3 linked regions of the Callithrix jacchus genome follow. The protein of the gene in region 3 binds, or shares a complex with, the protein of the main gene of each other region. Links are inferred from orthologs where the notes say so. Each region holds a gene or a part of one and is shown on either strand. Other genes may lie near its edges. The genes, in order: MAGEA4, UBE2B and RAD18.

What was found.
Region 1: the proteins of RAD18 (region 3) and MAGEA4 are in contact, whole or in part, in a crystal structure (PDB 9BD3), measured with the Homo sapiens proteins. The link is inferred for Callithrix jacchus from reciprocal best matches to the Homo sapiens genes RAD18 and MAGEA4. Residues at the interface, in NP_064550.3 of Homo sapiens: Ser348, Phe350, Gln351, Leu353, Val354, Gln356, Ala357, Arg358, Lys359, Gly360, Tyr361, Lys362, Lys363, Ile364, Ala365; in NP_001011548.1 of Homo sapiens: Ser111, Val114, Asp115, Ala118, His119, Ser158, Lys160, Met161, Ile162, Ile204, Ile205, Gly208, Thr209, Met212, Glu224, Glu225, Val228, Met229, Gly230, His237, Val239, Tyr240, His290, Val291, Val294, Asn295, Arg297, Arg299.
Region 2: the proteins of RAD18 (region 3) and UBE2B are in contact, whole or in part, in a crystal structure (PDB 2YBF), measured with the Homo sapiens proteins. The link is inferred for Callithrix jacchus from reciprocal best matches to the Homo sapiens genes RAD18 and UBE2B. Residues at the interface, in NP_064550.3 of Homo sapiens: Tyr342, Arg343, Lys344, Lys345, His346, Lys347, Glu349, Phe350, Leu353, Val354, Gln356, Ala357, Arg358, Lys359, Gly360, Tyr361; in NP_003328.1 of Homo sapiens: Pro20, Val22, Gly23, Val24, Ser25, Gly26, Ala27, Ser29, Glu30, Gln35, Asn37, Ala38, Val39, Phe41, Gly42, Pro43, Glu44, Glu49, Asp50, Lys54, Leu55, Val56, Leu73, Ser74, Asp151, Ser152.

The regions. Positions count from the first base shown.
Region 1 is NC_133524.1:148,210,395-148,216,914, forward strand, and holds the start of MAGEA4 (melanoma-associated antigen 4), read left to right. Parts: upstream 1-2,704; 5' UTR 2,705-3,751; coding exon 3,752-3,822; exon of another isoform or gene 3,823-5,438; intron 5,439-6,520. UniProt on the Homo sapiens protein: Regulates cell proliferation through the inhibition of cell cycle arrest at the G1 phase. Also negatively regulates p53-mediated apoptosis.
Region 2 is NC_133503.1:32,757,340-32,763,894, reverse strand, and holds the start of UBE2B (ubiquitin-conjugating enzyme E2 B), read right to left. Parts: upstream 4,034-6,555; 5' UTR 3,914-4,033; coding exon 3,870-3,913; intron 1,781-3,869; coding exon 1,700-1,780; intron 1-1,699. UniProt on the Homo sapiens protein: E2 ubiquitin-conjugating enzyme that accepts ubiquitin from the ubiquitin-activating enzyme E1 and transfers it to a E3 ubiquitin-protein ligase. In vitro catalyzes 'Lys-11'-, as well as 'Lys-48'- and 'Lys-63'-linked polyubiquitination.
Region 3 is NC_133516.1:66,166,440-66,172,898, forward strand, and holds the start of RAD18 (E3 ubiquitin-protein ligase RAD18), read right to left. Parts: upstream 4,253-6,459; 5' UTR 4,166-4,252; coding exon 4,115-4,165; intron 1-4,114. UniProt on the Homo sapiens protein: E3 ubiquitin-protein ligase involved in postreplication repair of UV-damaged DNA. Postreplication repair functions in gap-filling of a daughter strand on replication of damaged DNA.

The sequences.
Region 1 (6,520 bases), on a different chromosome or scaffold from region 3:
GGCTCTGTTAGGAGGCAAGGCGAGGCCCTGAGGCAGGACACAGGAAATCCCCACACTAGATAGATGACCCCAAATAATGCCTTACCACTCCGGCTGCCAGCCTTGGGCCACCCGTGCGTGGACTTCTGCGTGGGGGAGGGGCACCAACCCAACTACCGTTTAAGCCACAGGGGACTCGGGACTCAAAGAGTTTGGTGTGGTCCATGCAAGACTGGTGGGTGTAGGTTCGGCCAGGAATTAACTTCAGGATCCCAGGAGAGGGCTCCTAGTCCCCCATTCCGTCCCCATCCCCCAACCCATTCTTATTCCCATCCACCCTCCCATCCCGCACCAGTACCCCCATTCTCTCCAGCCCCTACCAACGTCATAATCCCATTCCCCCACCCCCAACCACGCAGCATCCGGTTCCAGCCAGTCACACCCACGTGCCCGGATGTGACGCCACTGACTTGCGCGTGGGGGCGAGTTAGAGAGAAGCGCGGTTCTTGGTCCGACCAGCAGTTTGGGATTGACGGAGAGAGGCACGCAAGGCTCTGCCGCCACCCCAATACCCCCACCCCCAACCACGCCGGATCCGGTTCCACCCAGTCACGCCCGGATGTGACGCCACTGACTTGCGCATGGGGGGCGGGTTAGAGAGAAGCGCGGTTCTTGGTCTGACCAGCAGCTCGGGATTGGTGGAGGCAACCGGGCAAGGCACTGTTAGGAGGAATGCTGAGACGCTGAGGGAGGACTCAGGAGCTCCCCACGCGAGATAGATGACGCCAAATAATCCATTACAACTCTGCTGCCAGCTCTAGGCCACCCGTGGCTGGACTTCTGAGTGGGGGATGGGCACCACGGCCACTGTGGTTGAAGTCACAGGGGACTCGGGACTCAAAGGGCTTGGCGTGGTCAGTGCAAGACTGGTGGGGATAGGCTCTGCCATGAATTAACTGCAGGATCCCAGGAGAGGGCTCTGAGTCCCCCATTCCGTCCCCATTCCCCAACCCATTTTTATTCCCATCCACCCTCCCATCCCGCACCAGTACCCCCATTCTCTCCAGCCCCTACCAACGTCATAATCCCATTCCCCCACCCCCAACCACGCAGCATCCGGTTCCACCCAGGTGCCCGGATGTGACGCCACTGACTTTCGCGTGGGGGCGGGTTAGAGAGAAGCGCAGTTCTTGGTCCGACCAGCGGTTTGGGATTGACGGAGAGAGGCGGGCAACGCTCTGTTAGGAGGTAAGGTGAGACGTAGAGGGAGGACGCAGGAGGTCCCCTTCCCCGGTAGACGACTCCAAATAATCTCTTACCACTCCGGCTGCCAGCCCTCGGCCACCCGTGGGTGGACTGCTTAGTGGGGGAGGGGCACCACCCCTACTGCCGTTGAAGCCACAGGGGACTCGGGACTCAAAGAACTTGGCGTGGTCAATGCAAGACTGGTGGGGTAGGCTGTGCCAGGAATTAACGTGGGGATCCCAGGAGAGGGCTCTGAGTCCCCCATTCCCATCCCCTTTCTCCAACCCATTCTTATTCCCATCCACCCTCCCATCCCGCACCAATACCCCCATTCTCTCAAGCTCCTACCAACCTCATAAACCCATTCCGCCACCCCAATACCCCCACCCCCAACCACGCCGGATCCGGTTCCACCCAGTCACGCCCAGATGTGACGCCACTGACTTGCGCATGGGCGGCGGGTTAGAGAGAAGCGCGGTTCTTGGTCTGACCAGCAGCTCGGGATTGGGGGAGGCAAGCGGGCAAGGCACTGTTAGGAGGAATGCTGAGACGCTGAGGGAGGACTCAGGAGCTCCCCACGCGAGATAGATGACGCCAAATAATCCATTACAACTCTGCTGCCAGCTCTGGGCCACCCGTGGCTGGACTTCTGAGTGGGGGATGGGCACCACGGCCACTGTGGTTGGAGTCACAGGGGTCTCGGGACTCAAAGGGCTTGGCGTAGTCAGTGCAAGATTGGTGGGGATAGGCTCTGCCATGAATTAACTGCAGGATCCCAGGAGAGGGCTCTGAGTCCCCCATTCCGTCTCCATTCCCCAACCCATTTTTATTCCCATCCACCCTCCCATCCCGCACCAGTAACCCCATTCTCTCCAGCCCCTACCAACGTCATAATCCCATTCCCCCACCCGCAACCACGCAGCATCCGGTTCCACCCAGGTGCCCGGATGTGACGCCACTGACTTGCGCATGGAGGGTGGATTAGAGAGAAGCGTGGTTCTTGGTCCGACCAGCAGCTCGGGGTTGACGGAGAGAAGCGGGCAAGGCGCTGTTAGGAAGCAAGGCGAGACGCTGAGGGAGGACTCAGTAGCTCCCCACCTTAGATAGAGGACCCCAAATAATCCCTTACCACTCCTGCTGGCTGCCCTGGGCCACCCGTGGGTGGACTTCTGTGTGGGGGAGGGGACCAGTCAGAGTGCCGTTTAAGCCACAGGGGACTCGGGACTCAAAGGGTTTGGCGTGGTCAATGCAAGACTGGTGGGGGTAGGCTCGGCCAGGAATTAACTTCAGGATCTTAGGAGAGGGCTCCGAGTCCCCCATTCTGTCCCCATTCCCCAACCCATTCTTATTCCCATCCACCCTCCCATCCCGCACCAGTACCCCCATTCTCTCCAGCCCCTACTAACCTCATAATCCCATTTCTCCCACCCCCAACCACGCAGCATCCGGTTCCACCCAGGTGCCCGGATGTGACGCCACTGACTTGCGCATGGGGGGTGGATTAGAGAGAAGCGTGGTTCTTGGTCCGACCAGCAGCTCGGGGTTGACGGAGAGAAGCAGGTAAGGCTCTGTTAAGAAGCAAGGCGAGACGCTGAGGGAGGACTCAGTAGCTCCCCACCTTAGATAGAGGACCCCAAATAATCCCTTACCACTCCTGCTGGCTGCCCTGGGCCACCCGTGGGTGGACTTCTGCGTGGGGGAGGGGACCAGTCAGAGTGCCGTTTAAGCCACAGGGGACTCGGGACTCAAAGGGTTTGGCTTGGTCAATGCAAGACTGGTGGGGGTAGGCTCGGCCAGGAATTAACTTCAGGATCTTAGGAGAGGGCTCCGAGTCCCCCATTCTGTCCCCATTCCCCAACCCATTCTTATTCCCATCCACCCTCCCATCCCGCACCAGTACCCCCATTCTCTCCAGCCCCTACTAACCTCATAATCCCATTCCCCCACCCCCAACCACGCAGCATCCGGTTCCACCCAGGTGCCCGGATGTGACGCCACTGACTTGCGCATGGGGGGTGGATTAGAGAGAAGCGTGGTTCTTGGTCCGACCAGCAGCTCGGGGTTGACGGAGAGAAGCGGGTAAGGCTCTGTTAAGAAGCAAGGCGAGACGCTGAGGGAGGACTCAGTAGCTCCCCACCTTAGATAGAGGACCCCAAATAATCCCTTACCACTCCTGCTGGCTGCCCTGGGCCACCCGTGGGTGGACTTCTGCGTGGGGGAGGGGACCAGTCAGAGTGCCGTTTAAGCCACAGGGGACTCGGGACTCAAAGGGTTTGGCTTGGTCAATGCAAGACTGGTGGGGGTAGGCTCGGCCAGGAATTAACTTCAGGATCTTAGGAGAGGGCTCCGAGTCCCCCATTCTGTCCCCATTCCCCAACCCATTCTTATTCCCATCCACCCTCCCATCCCGCACCAGTACCCCCATTCTCTCCAGCCCCTACTAACCTCATAATCCCATTCCCCCACCCCCAACCACGCAGCATCCGGTTCCACCCAGGTGCCCGGATGTGACGCCACTGACTTGCGCATGGGGGGTGGATTAGAGAGAAGCGTGGTTCTTGGTCCGACCAGCAGCTCGGGGTTGACGGAGAGAAGCGGGTAAGGCTCTGTTAAGAAGCAAGGCGAGACGCTGAGGGAGGACTCAGTAGCTCCCCACCTTAGATAGAGGACCCCAAATAATCCCTTACCACTCCTGCTGGCTGCCCTGGGCCACCCGTGGGTGGACTTCTGCGTGGGGGAGGGGACCAGTCAGAGTGCCGTTTAAGCCACAGGGGACTCGGGACTCAAAGGGTTTGGCGTGGTCAATGCAAGACTGGTGGGGGTAGGCTCGGCCAGGAATTAACTTCAGGATCTTAGGAGAGGGCTCCGAGTCCCCCATTCTGTCCCCATTCCCCAACCCATTCTTATTCCCATCCACTCTCCCATCCCGCACCAGTACCCCCATTCTCTCCAGCCCCTACCAACGTCATAATCCCATTCCCCCACCCCCAACCACGCAGCATCCGGTTCCAGCCAGTCACACCCAGGTGCCCGGATGTGACGCCACTGACTTGCGCGTGGGGGGCGGGTTAGAGAGAAGCGCGGTTCTAGGTCAGACCAGCAGCTCGGGATTGACGGAGGGAAGCGGGCAAGGCTCTGTTAGGAGGTAAGTTGAGACGCTGAGGGAGGAAGCAGGAGGTCCCCTCCCCAGATAGAGGACCCCAAGTAATACATTAGCACTATTGCTGCCAGCTCTGGGCCACCGTGGGTGGACTTCTGAGTGGGGGAGGGGCACCACCCCCATTGAAGCCACAGGGGACTCGGGACTCAAAGAGCTTGGCATGGTAAATGCAAGACTGGTGGGGGTAGTCTTTGCCAGGAATCAACGTGGGGATCCGAGGAGAGAGCTCAGAGTCCCACATCCGTCCCCATCCCCCAACCCATTCTTATTCCTATCCACCTTCCCATCCCGCACCAGTACCCTTATCCTCTCCAGCCCCTACCAACCTCATAATCCCAATCCCCCACCCCCAACCACGCAGCATCCGGTTCCACCCAGTCACACCCAGGTGCCCGGATGTGACGTCACTGACTTGCGCGTGGGGGGCGGGTTAGAGAGAAGCGCGGTTCTTGGTCTCACCAGCAGCTTGGGATTGGGGGAGGGAAGCGGGCAAGGCTCTGTTAGGAGGCAAGGTGAGACGCTGAGGGAGGGACGCAAGAGGTTCCCGTTCCAGATAGACGACCCCAAATAATCCATTAGCACTCCCTCTGCCAGCTCTGGGCTACCTGTGGGTGGACTTCTGAGTGGGGAGGGGCACCAACCCCACTGCCGTTTAACCCACAGGGGACTCGGGAGTCAGTGTTTGGGTTGGTCAATGCAAGACCGGTGGGGGTAGGCTCTGCCAGGAATTAACGTGGGGATCCCAGGAGAGGGTTGAGCCTCCCCCATTTCCAACCGCATCCACAGCCCATTCTTATTCCCATCCACCCTCCCATTCCCCACCAGTACCCATATTCTCTTCAGCCCCTACCAACCTCATAATTCCAATTCCCCAACCCAACACAGACGCCCATCCACGCAGCATCCAGTTTCACCCCGTCACACCCAAGTGCCCGGATGTGATGCTACGGGCTTGCACACGGAGCGGGGGTGTTAGAGAGAAGCGCGGTTCTTGGTATGACCAGCAGCTTGAGATTGGCAGAGAGAAGCTGGCAAAGTTCTGTTAGGAGGCAAGGTGAGATGCTGAGGGAGGACTCAGGAGGTCCTTACCCCAGATTGATGACCCCAAATTGTCCCGTACGATTCCTGCTGCCACTCCTGGGCCACCCATGGGTGGACTTCTGTGTGGGGGAGGGGCACCACCCCCACTGCGGTTTAAGCCACAGGGAACTCGGGAGTCAGAGTTTGAGCTGGTGAGTGCAAGACTGGTGGGGGTAGGCTCTGCCAGGAATCAACGTGGGGATCCCAGGAGAGGGCTCAGAGTCCCACATCCGTCCCCATCTCCCAACCCATTCTTATTCCCATCCACCCTCCCATTTCCCACCATTACCCCTATTCTCTCCAGCCCCTACCAACCTCATAATCTCATACCCCCAGCCCCATCCACGCAGCGTTTGGTTTCACCCAGTCACTCCCAGGTGCCCGGATGTGATGCTACTGACTTGTGCATGGGGCGGGGGTGTTAGAGAGAAGCCCGGGTTCTTGGTAGGACCAGCAGTTTGGGATTGATGGAGCGAAGCGGGCAGGGCTGTTACGAGGCAAGGTGAGATGCTGAGGGAGGACTCAGGAGGTCCCCACCCCAGATAGATGACCCCAAATAATCCCTTACCACTCCTGCTGCCAGCCCTGGGCCACCAGTGGGTGGACTTCTGAGTAGGGGAGGGGCACCACCCCCACTGCCGTTTAAGCCACAAGGAACTTGGGAGTCAGAGTTTGGGGTGGTCAATGCAAGACTGGTGGGGGTAGGTTCTGCCAGGAATCAATGTCAGGATCGCAGCAGAGTGATGAGTGTCCCGCATTGCCATCCCTATGCCCCGCTAGCACCCCTACCCTTCCCATCTCACTACTATGGTCATACCCTCATTCTCTGCCCTCATCTCCCTCCCTGTGGAATCTGGTTCCATCCCTGCTTTCAACACAGGCAGGCCCTGGGTTCCCACATGTGATGCCACTGACCTATGCATTGGGGGTTAGAGGGAAGTGAGGTTCTGTGTCTGAGGGTTGGCTTGAGATAGGCGGAGTGAAGGGGGCCCCGGCTCAGTGAGGAGGCAAGATAAGACACTGAGGGAGGACTCAGGATGACTGCATCCCAGGTAG
Region 2 (6,555 bases), on a different chromosome or scaffold from region 3:
TTACCAAACCAAACAAAAAAACTTGCCCATAATTTTAGCACCAAAAACTTCCAGTTCATTAATACTGACCAGTCATTTTGTACATATGTATATTTTTTGTTTGTTGTTATTTTTTGTTTTTTTCTGAGAGGGAGTTTCACTCTTGTTGCCCAGGCTGGAGTGCAATGGCGTGATCTCGGCTCACTGCAACCTACTTGTCCTGGGTTCAAGGGATTCTCCTGCCTCAGCCTCCCAAGTAGCTGGAATTATAGGCATGTGCCACCACACCTGGTTAATTTTTGTATTTTTAGTAGAGACAGGGTTTCAGTATGTTGGTCAGTCTGGTCTTGAACTCTGACCTCAGGTGATCCACACGCCTCAGCCTCCCAAAGTGCTGGGATTTCAGGCGTGAGCCACCATGCCTGGCCACATATGTATATTCTTAAGAGAAAAAGTCATCTTTTTCATTTAACAGCAATAAGATGGAAAGCAATAGTCTTTAGTTATGATGCTAAACCCAAGTGTCCTGCTTTCCAACAGATGCATAACGTTTGTTCAAATAGGCTAAGCATAGCTGCTGTCACCAAAAAGCCAGATTCTCTTGTTCAGATCCTTGCCACCACATCCCAATTTCATACTTCCTAAGCAGCAGCACAAGGTTTAATTATTACTTGCAAGGCATATTCAGGATCTCAAAGTAGCCAGATAATACCCTGAATATAACAGAAGTGCTTTATGAGGGTGAACCTCACTCATTTTCCACTAGTCTTTAAATGTAGACTCTTGTAGCTGAACTGGAGTATCAGAATTCTGTTTATCAACATATTCCTTTTACTTTTTAATGCATATCTCGAGTTTCAAAGGAATGAAAGAAAAAACAGATCAAGTCTAGAAAAACCAAAGAAAAAGCATAAGGAAAATTTAAATTAAAAAGCATATATGCAACATATATAGTACGTAAAATTTACAACTCCTCAAATGGCTGCATTCTGCTACTTCACACCGGGCTGTGAATCCTTTTCACTTAAATACTTGCCACAGTAGAAGTTCTTAATATTTTTGGTTCCAAATCTTGTAATAGCTCCAACAGAATTAAAGCATTTGCATGGTATATTTTATACAAAATAATTTATATTTTCTCCTTTATTATTCCATTCCATATAGTTTTGAATAGTATTTTAAAGTAAAACCTGAAGTGATTATAAAACCCTATAATAAAAGAGCAAATAAATTGTATATAACTGCTGAAATTTTTTTCCTTTTTTTTTTGAAACATAAGGGTCTTGGTTCTGCTGCCCAGGCTGGAGTGCAGTGGCATAATCATGGCACTCAAATTCCTGGGCTCAAGTGATCCTCCTGCCTCAGCCTTCCAAGTAGCTGGGACCACAGGTGTGCACCACTATGCCCAGCTAGTTTTATACTTTTTGTAGAGATGAGGTCTCACTATGTTGCCCAGGCTGGGCCAAAACTCCTTTTTTTGGGGGGCAGGGAGAGAGAGACTCACTGTTTCATTATATTGCTCAGGCTGGTGATGAACTCCTGGGTTCAAGCGATCCTCCTAGGCATGAGCTAAAATTCTAATTAAAAAAATTTTTTTCTAATTTATCTTGTAGTTTTAGTCCTGAAGATCTCTCAATCCACCCCAGTTTCTTTTCCTAGGCAGTTGTTATATATTCACTTAAAGATTCAACACACACCTATTATAAACCTTTCAACTCACCCAAATATAACTGCATTCCACTGCATGATGTTGTTTTCAGATGGTGCACCACTGACACCCACAGGTGGGTCCTCTTGTAACCTAGAAATCCGGAGTGGTAATTTAAAAAGTTGAACATTAAGGCCACTAAGGAGGCCACATAAACACCTACAGACACTATACCATCTATTGTGACACAGGGACTAACTCCATTTCCTTGTTACTGTGAACTAAAATGAACCCTATGACTTAAATATATTAACCAGGTATATACACTTATTAAATACCTCTCCAAATTATCTAAAAATGTAAAAGGCTTGAGAATCATCCCTTTTTCAATATTATCAAGATTATTATCTCTTCAAGAATTGATGCATACAGACTGTCCTCTTAAACCAAAAAAAAGTTTAAAAACTCAAAAGCAAATAATATTTTTACAGAACCATCGATTTTGCTGCTCTAACCATCCAAAGACTGTGTGTCTTAACCACAGGTACTTCTGCAAAATGGCTAAAAAAAGAAAAGCAAACCTCAGTGTAAACACTAATGACTGAAAACACGTTAATTACAAAACTAGTATTAGGCAGATTTACTTTATCCCTTTTGCTTCAAACGGCAATGGCTTTAAAAAGTAATCAGTAGGTTTTCTGCCAGTCCCTATTTTAAGGCTCTGCACTAACACCAAATCTACCTCTCAGATCAGGAGACTCAATACAAGGCTTTCCAACATTCCTCAAATTCTTATAACCTGCAGACCTTTGGAAAACTTCAAAAGGTGTCATATACTCAACTCAGAATTAAGCAGAGCATTACAGTAAGGAGCCAGGGAGACAATGACGTGAACTAAATTGCTATTTGAATTTTAGTCACAAGTGCCAAGCAAATACACTAATTTCAAGCTTTAGAAAGATAACTTTTGCACAAAAAAGGGCATCTCCTTTCAGAGACTGTAGTGTCAATTAAAAATGCTACATTATACACACAAATACATATGCAGTCGTTTTCATGGGGCATCACACTTTGCAACTAGTCCACATTAAAAAAAAAAAAGGTTTTTAGTCAATTTCAAGCAAATTAGGCCGCCACGAACAGAAGCCTCACAAGAACTGCACTGCTTGACGCCTACCTTTAAATGGCTAAGAGAAGCTACCAATGAATTAAATAAGTTGGCCAAAGCCCAAAACAATGGATGGCTTCCAAATGCTTCACATAGGCTTTATAATGGCTGAGTTGAGAGGCGACTTCCTGAGCGACAAATCTAAGTTTTTAGGCCAGATATTTTGTCTCAATTAGGGCAGGTATCCCCAAAAAAAATTTTAAGAAAAACGTGCAGAGTTATCAAAATGCTGTTTTCTCACATGTTTTTCTATGTCTCTAAGTATCCAATTAAAGGCAAACGACGGACTAATCATTCTCTTTCTCACAACCCCAATACCTCCTAACAGTTAAAACCCTATTTATTTACCAAAGGAGGCCCAGGGAGTATCAAATTAGCGCCCGTCTAAGGGAAGGCATTTTTCCAGACTCGGGAGGCTATAGATAGGGCTTTCTTCACCAGCCAGAGCTGAGTTCCAGAAGGCACTGGCAGCCGGGGTGGCCAGCTCTGAGGTCCCAGATCTCTAAGTCGGTTCCCAAGGTCCTTTCAGGCGGGCGGGGACAGAGTCGGGTTTCGGGGGATGGGTTAAGCTCCGGGCCTCACGCACTGGACCCCACCCTCACGGTAGAAATGGAAAGGACCGGGGCGTGGTGCGGGGGGTTTCGCCCCAACCCGGCTCCTCGGAGAAGACGGCGGGGCAGTGAAACAAAGCTGACCGGTGCAGCCGGCGAGGAACAAACTCCCGCAGGAGCTTACTTTAAGAGGACAAGAAGGGGGCGCCGCAGGGTGCAGGGGCGGGTGGAGGAAATCTGATCGCCGGGCAGCTGGCCGAAAAGGGCAGCAGGGAACCCTAGGCCAGTCGATCGACACCGTTTTACTTTTTGGGGGTAGGAGGAGTATCGAAATTTATTCGGCCGCCAAAACGAGAGGCAAGGATAAGGTAGTGGAAGCCGAGGCTAGGACCCGGCTTCTGCCAGTTCTGCTGGGCCCACAGCCGGCCCTCGGAGGGTCACAAGGGGAAGGTGTCCGGGATCCCCACCCTGCAGCCCCGCAGCTTTGAGGGGCCGTCATCTAGGCGGACGTGAAGGCCCTTACCGCTTGAAATCCCGCATGAGCCTTCTCCGGGCCGGGGTCGACATGCTCCCCAGCTGCCCCGCGGTCAGTCTGAAAGAAAAGAGTCCCGCGCAGCCCCCCCACCCCCCGGCGCGGCGGCCAAATCACTGTGGGTAGCTGCCGCTGCTGCCGTCGCCGAGACTGACAAACAACCCTGCAATGACGTCTCCCTCCGCCGCCTCCGGATCCCTCCGCCCTCCGGATCCCTCCGCCCTCCGCCGCTACCACGGAAGAGCGTTGGGGGAGGAGGGGGCGGGACGCTGGAGCGCGCGTTCTCCGAGCCCTTCTGCGGGGCTGGGTTCAGCCTGGGCTTCCTGAAATGATCGGCAAGTTTGTGTACTCTGTGCTTACACTAGAGGTTGTGGATTCAGAGACCACGGAACCGAAACACTATCTGTCCCCCTCCCCGTCATTAGTTTAGACTCGGCGGGGTGGAGAGAGGGGGGACTCATCCGGGCCAGAGATTTCAGGGAAAGGAGGTGGGATGACGTAAGATCACGTGACTGACCGTGGCCTTGTCAACAATCCACCCCTGAGGGGGAGGGGGAGAAGTATCTAGAACCACGTGTCCCTATGACGCCTTTAGAATGGGTCACGTGAAAGCCTCGCCTCTATGTGAGTTTCAGCCAGCTCTATGAAGCTGGTTCAAGGGAGATTACACCTTTATTAGTTGTTTCCTGTTTATTACAGGTTAGAGACATCATTACCCAAGAGATCATGGCAGAATCAACAGCTTGTTTTGTTTTGTTTTGTTTTGTTTTTTTTTTTGAGGGTTTTAAAATTATTTATTTATTTTACATTTTGTAGAGGCAGGGTCTCTCAAAGTGCTGGGATTACAGGCATGAGTCACGTTTTGTTTTCTTTAAACCGGGACCAAAAATAATTCCCCTCTGGTTGGTTCAGTGGCTTATCAACTCTGCTATTGGGGCAAGAAGGGTATTGCACGATCTTCTAAGGCAGCATTGAATGTTGAGGCCCACACAACAATATCCTGCAATGCTTCCTTGAAGCTACCAAATAGTCTTTCAGCTTTGCAGTGGGGTTTCTAGTATTGAAAATTTTGGGCAAACATTAAAGGATGGTGTATTATGCAGTTTTTCCTTTCTGGGTCTGCTTTCATTTGAAGATATGTGTCAGAGTCCGGGACTTGCCTATAGGGGGTTGTACCATTGTATATTTTTAAGGAATGTGGGGTTGCAGACTTCCAGGCTTATCAATGAGTGGTTGGTTGTCAAAGAAACCTACAAATATGATTTATACCTGGGGGAGAGCTCCTGTAGATATGAGTGAGGGTTATAAATCTAGCCTGAAGGCCCGGTGCGATGGCTCACGCCTATAGTCCCAGCACTTTGGGAGGCTGAGGCGAGTGGATCACGAGGTCAAGAGATCGAGACCATCCTGGTCAACAAGGTGAAACACCGTCTCTACTAAAAATACAAAAATTAGCTGGGCATGGTGGCGTGCGCCTGTAGTCCCAGCTACTCGGGAGGCTGAGGCAGAATTGCTTGAACCCAGGAGGTGGAGGCTGCAGTGAGCCGAGACTGCGCCGTTGCACTCCAGCCTGGGTAACAAGAACAAAACTCTGTCTCAAAACAAAACAAAACAAAAAAATAAATCTAGCCTGAGATAACTTTAGGTTTTCTACACTAGCAAGTAAAGTGCAAATGGGCCAGAAGTGCCCCCCCATCACCAGGGGGGTTCAAAAGTGTTGATCTCCCACAGACCTTGAATATTTTCTGTAGTTACTGTCCTTCCCTCTATTGCTTCCAGTTCCTACCCTCAGGACTTTGTTATACTAAGGACTCTGAGTACTGAGGAATCCTTCAGCTCAACAGGGAAAGGGAAGGTGGAATGAAGACCTTAGCATTGCCTCAACCTTGCCCATAGTTCCATGGAAGCAGAGTTAACTTTTCCGACTTTCCTTGCATCTTCCTCTTTAAACCCTGAATTCTCTCTCTGCTTCCAGTGACTGCCTCGGTAATCGAGTTAGGCAGGCCTAACTCTTGATAGGTCCTGTTAAACATTTCACAATGTGTTTTCTAAGTCAAAAGCTGAATATTCTTAATTTTTTTGCCTTTCTGCCATTGCAGTCCTAACCCTTCCGATAACAAAAGAGAAAGATACACATGTAAGGTTACATGGAGAAAAATGGTCAAGAGAAACTGTATCTTAAAAATATTCGGCATGAGCTGAGACATAAGCTCATGCCTGTAATCCTAATACTTTGGGAGGCCATAAGTTTGAGACCAGCCTGTGCAAAACAGGAGATCCTGTCTCTGCAAAAAGTAAAATTAGCTAGGCGTGGTGACATACACCAGTAGTCCCAGCAACCTGGGAGGCTGAGGCAGAAGGATCGCTTGAGCCGAGGAAGTTGAAGCTGCAGTGAACCATCATCGTGCCACTGAGACCTTGACAAAAAAAAACAAAAACAAAAACAAAAACACCTTATAATTTACCAGTTAAGGCAGTCACTGAAAGCAGAAACAATTCAGGGTTTGCAGAAAGGGAGGTACAAGGAAAGTGGAAAAAGTTAACCTTTTCTGGTTCCATGGAACTATGGGCAAGATTAGGAAAATGGTGAGGTCTTCCTCCCTCCCTCCCTTTCCCTGTTGAGCTGAAGAATTTCCTAAATGGATACAAATGTGCTCAGAATCCTCTTGACTGACCA
Region 3 (6,459 bases):
AGCCCAGAATTTCTTATCCAGCCAAACTAAGCTTCACAACTGAAGGAAAAATAAAATCTTTTATGAACAAGCAAGTATTCAGAGATTTTATTACCACCAGCCCTGCTTTACAAGAACTTCTGAAAGAAGCATTACACATAGAAAGAATCAACCAGTATTAGCCTTTCTAAAAATATACCAAAAAGTACAGAGCATCAACATAAAGAAGAATTTACATCAATGAATGGATAAAACAGCCAGTTAACATCAAATGGTAGTAAACCTAAATTTAAATTGACTAAATCCCCCAATCAAAAGATACAGCCAAAACCCAACTGTATGCTACATCCAGACCCATTTCACATGTAAGGATACACAAAGACTCAAAACAAAGGGATGGAGAAAGATTTACCAACCAAATGGAGAGCAAAAATAAATAAATAAATAAAAAGCAGGAGTTGCAATTCTCGCATCTGATAAAATAGATTTTAAAGCAACAAAGATATAGTGGTAAAAGGATCAATGCAACAATAAGAGCTAACGATCCTAACACCCAGATACACAGAGACTTAGACTCCATGAGACAGAAAATTAATAAGGATATCCAGGACTCGAACTCAGATCCGGAACAAGTAAACTTAATAAATATTTATAGAGCTCTCCACTTTAAATACACAAAATATACATTCTTGTCAATACCACATCACACCTACTCATAGGTTTAAATGAAATATTGATTGGCCATTATTAATACCCATTTTTTAGAATAAAGCAACATTTCCGTTCTCTCTCCCTCTTTTTCTTCCTCTTTCTTCCTCTCCTTCACTCCTTTTTTTTTCTTTCCTTCTCTCAAAAAAAAAAAAAGAATGTATTCTAATAAGCCTAGCTTGGTGGCTCTTGCCTGTAATCCTAGCACTTTGGGAGACCACGGCAGGAGAATTGCTTAAATTCAGGAATTCAAGACCAGCCTGAGCAAAATAGCAAAAATCCATGTCTATAAAAAAAAGTAAAAATTAGTTGGGCATGATGGCACATGCCTGTAGTTCCAGCTACTCAGGAGGCTAAGGCGGAAGGATCACTTTAGGCCAGGAGTTCAAGGCAGCAAGCAGCCTGGGTGACGGTGAGACCCTATCTCAAAAAAAAAAAAAGTATCTATTTTCATCAGAAATACAAACAAATTATGAGAAGATAATAATAAAAATGATCAGGGCCAGGAACACGGTAAGAAGGAAACTTTTACTTTTCACTTCATGTGTATCCTGAACCAAGTGAACCTATTATCTGAATTTTTAAAATTTATACAAAAAAAAGACTAATGTTGCCAACAGTCCATATGATGAAATATTATGCAACCATTAAAAAACATGCTTTCAAAGAATATTTAATGCCATAGGAAAATAAAAATCAGAAAATAAATATATGCCAATAATACATAATAATGGCAACTCTGTAGTTTAATCTTCATGGCAATCTTATAAAGTCCACAGCATCAGTACCCCAATTTTAAAAACAAAGCCTTCAGAGTTCCTAGGTTGGCTGAATCAAACCCAAGAAGTTGACTCCACAATGATCCCAAATTTTAAATGCGTAAAAACTGAAGGAAAATAAGGTAAAATGTTAAACACTGGTTCTCTGGGTGGTAGGATTACAGATGATTTTCTTTTTCACCTTTATCTTACTCTGAATTTTAATTTTTTTCTACTGTGTACACCTATTACATTTACAATATGCCAAAAAGAGTCCAATTTTGCTAAAATAAAACCAGGGAAATAATAAAATGCCAAAATCTTCCATTATTGTGGATGGTAAGCTGTCACAGACACAAAAATCTAGAGGGTTAATGTTAAAGATCAATTAAGATCAGAGGCAGGCCCAGAAGCCGGAACCAGTCTGTCATACCACTCTTTCTTATCTATGCCATTCTCTTCGGTGGAGTAATGATTCAGAAAGATCTGCAGAGCACAATTTGTGGAAGTTGACACTCCATAAGATGAGCTATTTCGGGTTCAAATTTCTGGTCATGTCTCTCCAAGACTGTAATATGCGTATCACATGTGCCTCAACCAACCAAACAAAAAACGATGCCTGAATAGAGAGTGGTCAGCAGACACCCCAAAATGTCTTTAGTTTAGAGAGAGAGAAAGTGAAAGGGAGTAGAAAATGGGTAGAAAAACATAATACTTACAAAAATACCCAAGTTTTTGGGGTTACAGATCCCTTTGAAAATTAGATGAAAACTATGGACTCTATTCTCAGAAAAACATATATACGAAAATTCTACAAATAACTTGAGACTCCGAAGTCTTTCTACGGATCCTAAGTCAGGAACCATGCATTCTGAGTCAGACTTCTATTAGAAGTAACTTTAGTCAGATCCACTTCTGGGATCTGATAGTTCTTTGTCCCTGGAAGAGTTCAAGCAAAAATTAGGTGAGAAATTGGCAGATATGTTATAAAAGAGTTTAAAATAATGAAGGAGGCTGGTTTCCAAACCTTAAGATTCTATGATTCTAATGTGAGCAAAAAATATGGGCTCAATCAACTCTCTGGTTGAACAATCACTGAACACTCTGTGGTATCAAACTCTATATTCAGTGCCGTGGTGAGATACCAAAGTCAGAGAAGACATGGAACCTGCCTCTAAAGAACACTGAAATTGTGGGAATATGTAAAATATGCTTAAATCTACAAAGCAGGAGCTTTACAGGTTACAGAGTTCTTTTACTTTCCTTATCCAAATCAAGCTTCATGACAACAAATTAAAAGGGGAGAGAAGCACTTAGCACAGTGCTAATAATAGTAATAAAATATATTCATTGAATGCTTACTACATTCCAGATACTTTCAATCAAGCAGCAAATAATACTTGAGCACTCACTTTCTGTCAGGCACCGCATCAAGCACAATGAATAAGCCTGCAGAATCTGCACCCACACACATGAACTCATTTATTTAATCAACCCTATGAACTGTTTATTTTTGTCTCTAATTTATAGTTGAAGAAATTCAGGCTCAGAGAGGTTATGTTACTAACTGAAGGTCACACAGCTAAGAGGCAGAGATCAGATTTCACCCAGGACCACTAGAATTCAAATCTGTGCTCTTTTCCACGGCATCTTGGTGCCAAGCCCATCACAACTTCGAAACCACCGCTTTCCTGGATCCTTTCACAATGTCAGCTTCTCGTCATGCAGATATCTCAAGTCCCCAAGACCTCTAAATATCACGGATGACAGCAGGAAGAACAAGGCCTTATACTTATTTTAGCCTTCACTTAATTCTAAAGTCAACTTTATGAGCCAGTGGGACAGATACTATAATCCCCAAGACTACAAAACTGAGGAAGAGAAAAAGGCTATCTTAGCCACTGTCAGAAACAAAAATAATCACAGAGCAAAAAGAAACACCAAACAACTGACTTTTAGCCAGCACGGGAATGTGCATCTGCTCTTGAGCAAATCCAGGGACCACCACTACGTAAATGGAAACTGTTGCCTTGCCAAAACAGAAAGTGGCTACAAAAATAAGTGTTATTTAACTGAAATAATTCGATGCAATGAAAGATGACTGCTGAATCTTGATCTTTGTTTAAAAGACAGAGAGATGAGCAATTGTTACAGAAGAGATAGGACGTGTGAGGGAGGAGCTGGGGCAGTATGTCGGTACAAACCAGCAGTAGGTTTATTGAGAATAATCAGAAGAGCCTGTAAAGGAGACTACCTGCTTGGCTACGTGATTACATACATGTTACTTGATAAAGTGTCCACCCAAAATCATGTCCGGTGTCACTGTTTAGTGCTTGACACAAAGTAAGCTTTCAGTGAAGGTTAGCTGACAATGTCATTGTTTAGAACAGCTGTTTTTCTCCATGTTACTGTTCGGATTGGATCGCAGAATATCTGGTTCCATTAGACTGTCAACCTCAGCTCACCAAGCTTGTCCTTGTCACTTATCAAAGGAGTAAACTGAGACCCAGAGCCACGCGGTCGGCTAGTGACAGAGCAGAGCCGGGTACTATGGCCCAGTGCGACTCTCGCGCCTCATTTTTTCTCCTCAAGGCGAGGACATCCTCCTCAAAGGGAGGGACCGCCCCCCGCAGGCACCCGGGAGCCCCCAACCTCCCCGAAGCACTCACCTTCATAACTGCCAGGCCCGGCGGCCACCGAGGCTCGGTTAGGGAGTCCATGGTCGCTCCTGAAGATGCTGGGGTCTACCACTCAACTAGCCTCCGGCGCTCCAATACCACTCGAAATTCCCCGCGCTATCGCATTACGTCACAACCCGCGACGCGCCAGAGGCGGGCGCGGAGCCTGCCGGAAATTGTAGTAGGATGTGGGCGGGGCGCTGCTGATGGTGCTTGTACTGCGCCTGCGCTAGGCTATGTCCGCTACTGTGTAATATCTCTCCCATATTACAACACTGGGAGGTAGGTGTTATCATTGTCAGTTTACACAAGCGGAAACTACTCCGGAAAAGCTGAATAGAGTTTCGAGTCAGATTCGAAACAGGACCTCTGGAGTTTAAATAGGAGCTCTTCCTTTTAATCATATTAAAATTTTAATGTACAGTTTTTCTTCAGAGAGAAGCACTATTAACTTCGGCATATAGCCTTCCAGATATTTCCTATGCAAATTGGCAAAGATTCTTGGCTTGACCAAACTTTAGTCAGGCTCCTGAACCTTCTCCTAGGCCAATCTGTGTACTTCGTGATAAAATCCAGTTTTAGCAAAGAACTCTGCTAAATCAAGTTAGCAATATCCCCACCCTTGAATCCTTGCCCTTGATATTCCCACCAAGTTAGCAAGAATCTGGGAAGGGACATTTCGGAATCCATATAGGCTCATGGCAAAATCCGAATATCCCACAATAAAAACTAGAAACCAGCTATCTGAAAATGCCTTGCAATGTGTGGATTCTCACACAGTTGAAACCTCTGTTTTGATTCAGTAGGTTGGAAACACTCTTTTTGTAGAATCTAGGAAGGGACATTTTGGAGCCCATTGAGGCTTAAGATGAAGAACACGCCCCACGTGGTCCATGCACTGATTCATTTCACAAATATTTTCTGAATGCTTACAACGGGCCAGGCACTTGAGCTTTCTTGGGAAGCAGGCAGAGATTAGACTGTTATGGCCATCTTACAAATGAGGACACTGAGGCTCAGAAAGCTTAAGACTTCACTCCTCTGAGTTCTCTTCATAAGAACCCTCTAGTCTCTTAGCCAAAGCTGTATTCAATTGATTTTTCCCAGCTTGCACCCAAATACTTACTGGGCAGTAATATTAATACTAATAGCATTTAGAGAAAGGACTTTAGACTTTGGAGGCTGAGGCGGGTGGATCACAAGGTCAAGAGATCAAGACCATCCTGGTCAACATGGTGAAACCCCGTCTCTACTAAAAATACAAAAAATCAGCTGGGCATGGTGGCGCGTGCCTGTAATCCCAGCTACTCAGGAGGCTGAGGCAGGAGAATTGCCTGAACCCAGGAGGCGGAGGCTGCAGTGAGCCAAGATCGCGCCATTGCACTCCAGCCTGGGTAAGAAGAGCGAAACTCCGTCTCAAAAAAAAGAGAAAGGACTTTAGTATCCATTACAGTAGTAGCTGGCATTTATTAGGCACGTGTATGCAAAACACCATTCTAAGTTTTTTACACATATGCACTTATTTGACTTATTCACAAGGCACCCTGCTGGTAGTGGAAGATGAAAGATTTGAACTCAGTCTGGCTTGAGAGTCCATATTGACCACAACAGAATATTCTCATAAGGCCTTCATCATGAGAACTAAGTCTTAGAGAGGTAAAGGAATTCATATAAACCACAGTTTGTCAGTGGCATTATCCAGGATGGAACCTAGGTCTTTTAACCTAAAACCAGAAGAAATCACCCACTGATAATTTTTTGAGAAACAGTTAAGTAAACCAAGTCAAGGGGCAGAGCCAGGTCTGAGAATCTCAGGTTGTTGGACCTAGTGGGACTCCCAAAAGGAAGATGAGGAATGGAGGTTTATGGTGCCAACCCCCACCCTTATGCTTTGTATCAGGCAATCATAGAACGGCATTCAAATGCATGCCAGGCTGAGCTGGAAGAGGTTGGATAGTTCTGGATGCAGGGGCAGTAGGGTCTTGGAGAGATAAGGGAAAAGCATCTAAGACCAGGTCCGTGGACTGAGTGAACCAGTAATTGTTTTTTCACAATACTAGTCGGACAAGGTAATTAGGTTTTTCTTTTCCTTTTTTTCTTTTTCTTTCTTTCTTTTTTTTTTTTTTTTGAGACGGAATCTCAAACTGTCGCCCAGGCTGTAGTGCAGGGCACAATCTCGGCTCACTGCAATCTCCGCCTCCTAGGTTCAAGCCATCCTCCTGCCTCAGCCTCCCGAGTAGCTGGGACAGGCGTGCGCCACCATACCCAGTTAATTTTTTTGTATTTTTAGTAGAGATGGGGTTTCACCATGTTGGCCAGGATGGTCTCGATCTTCT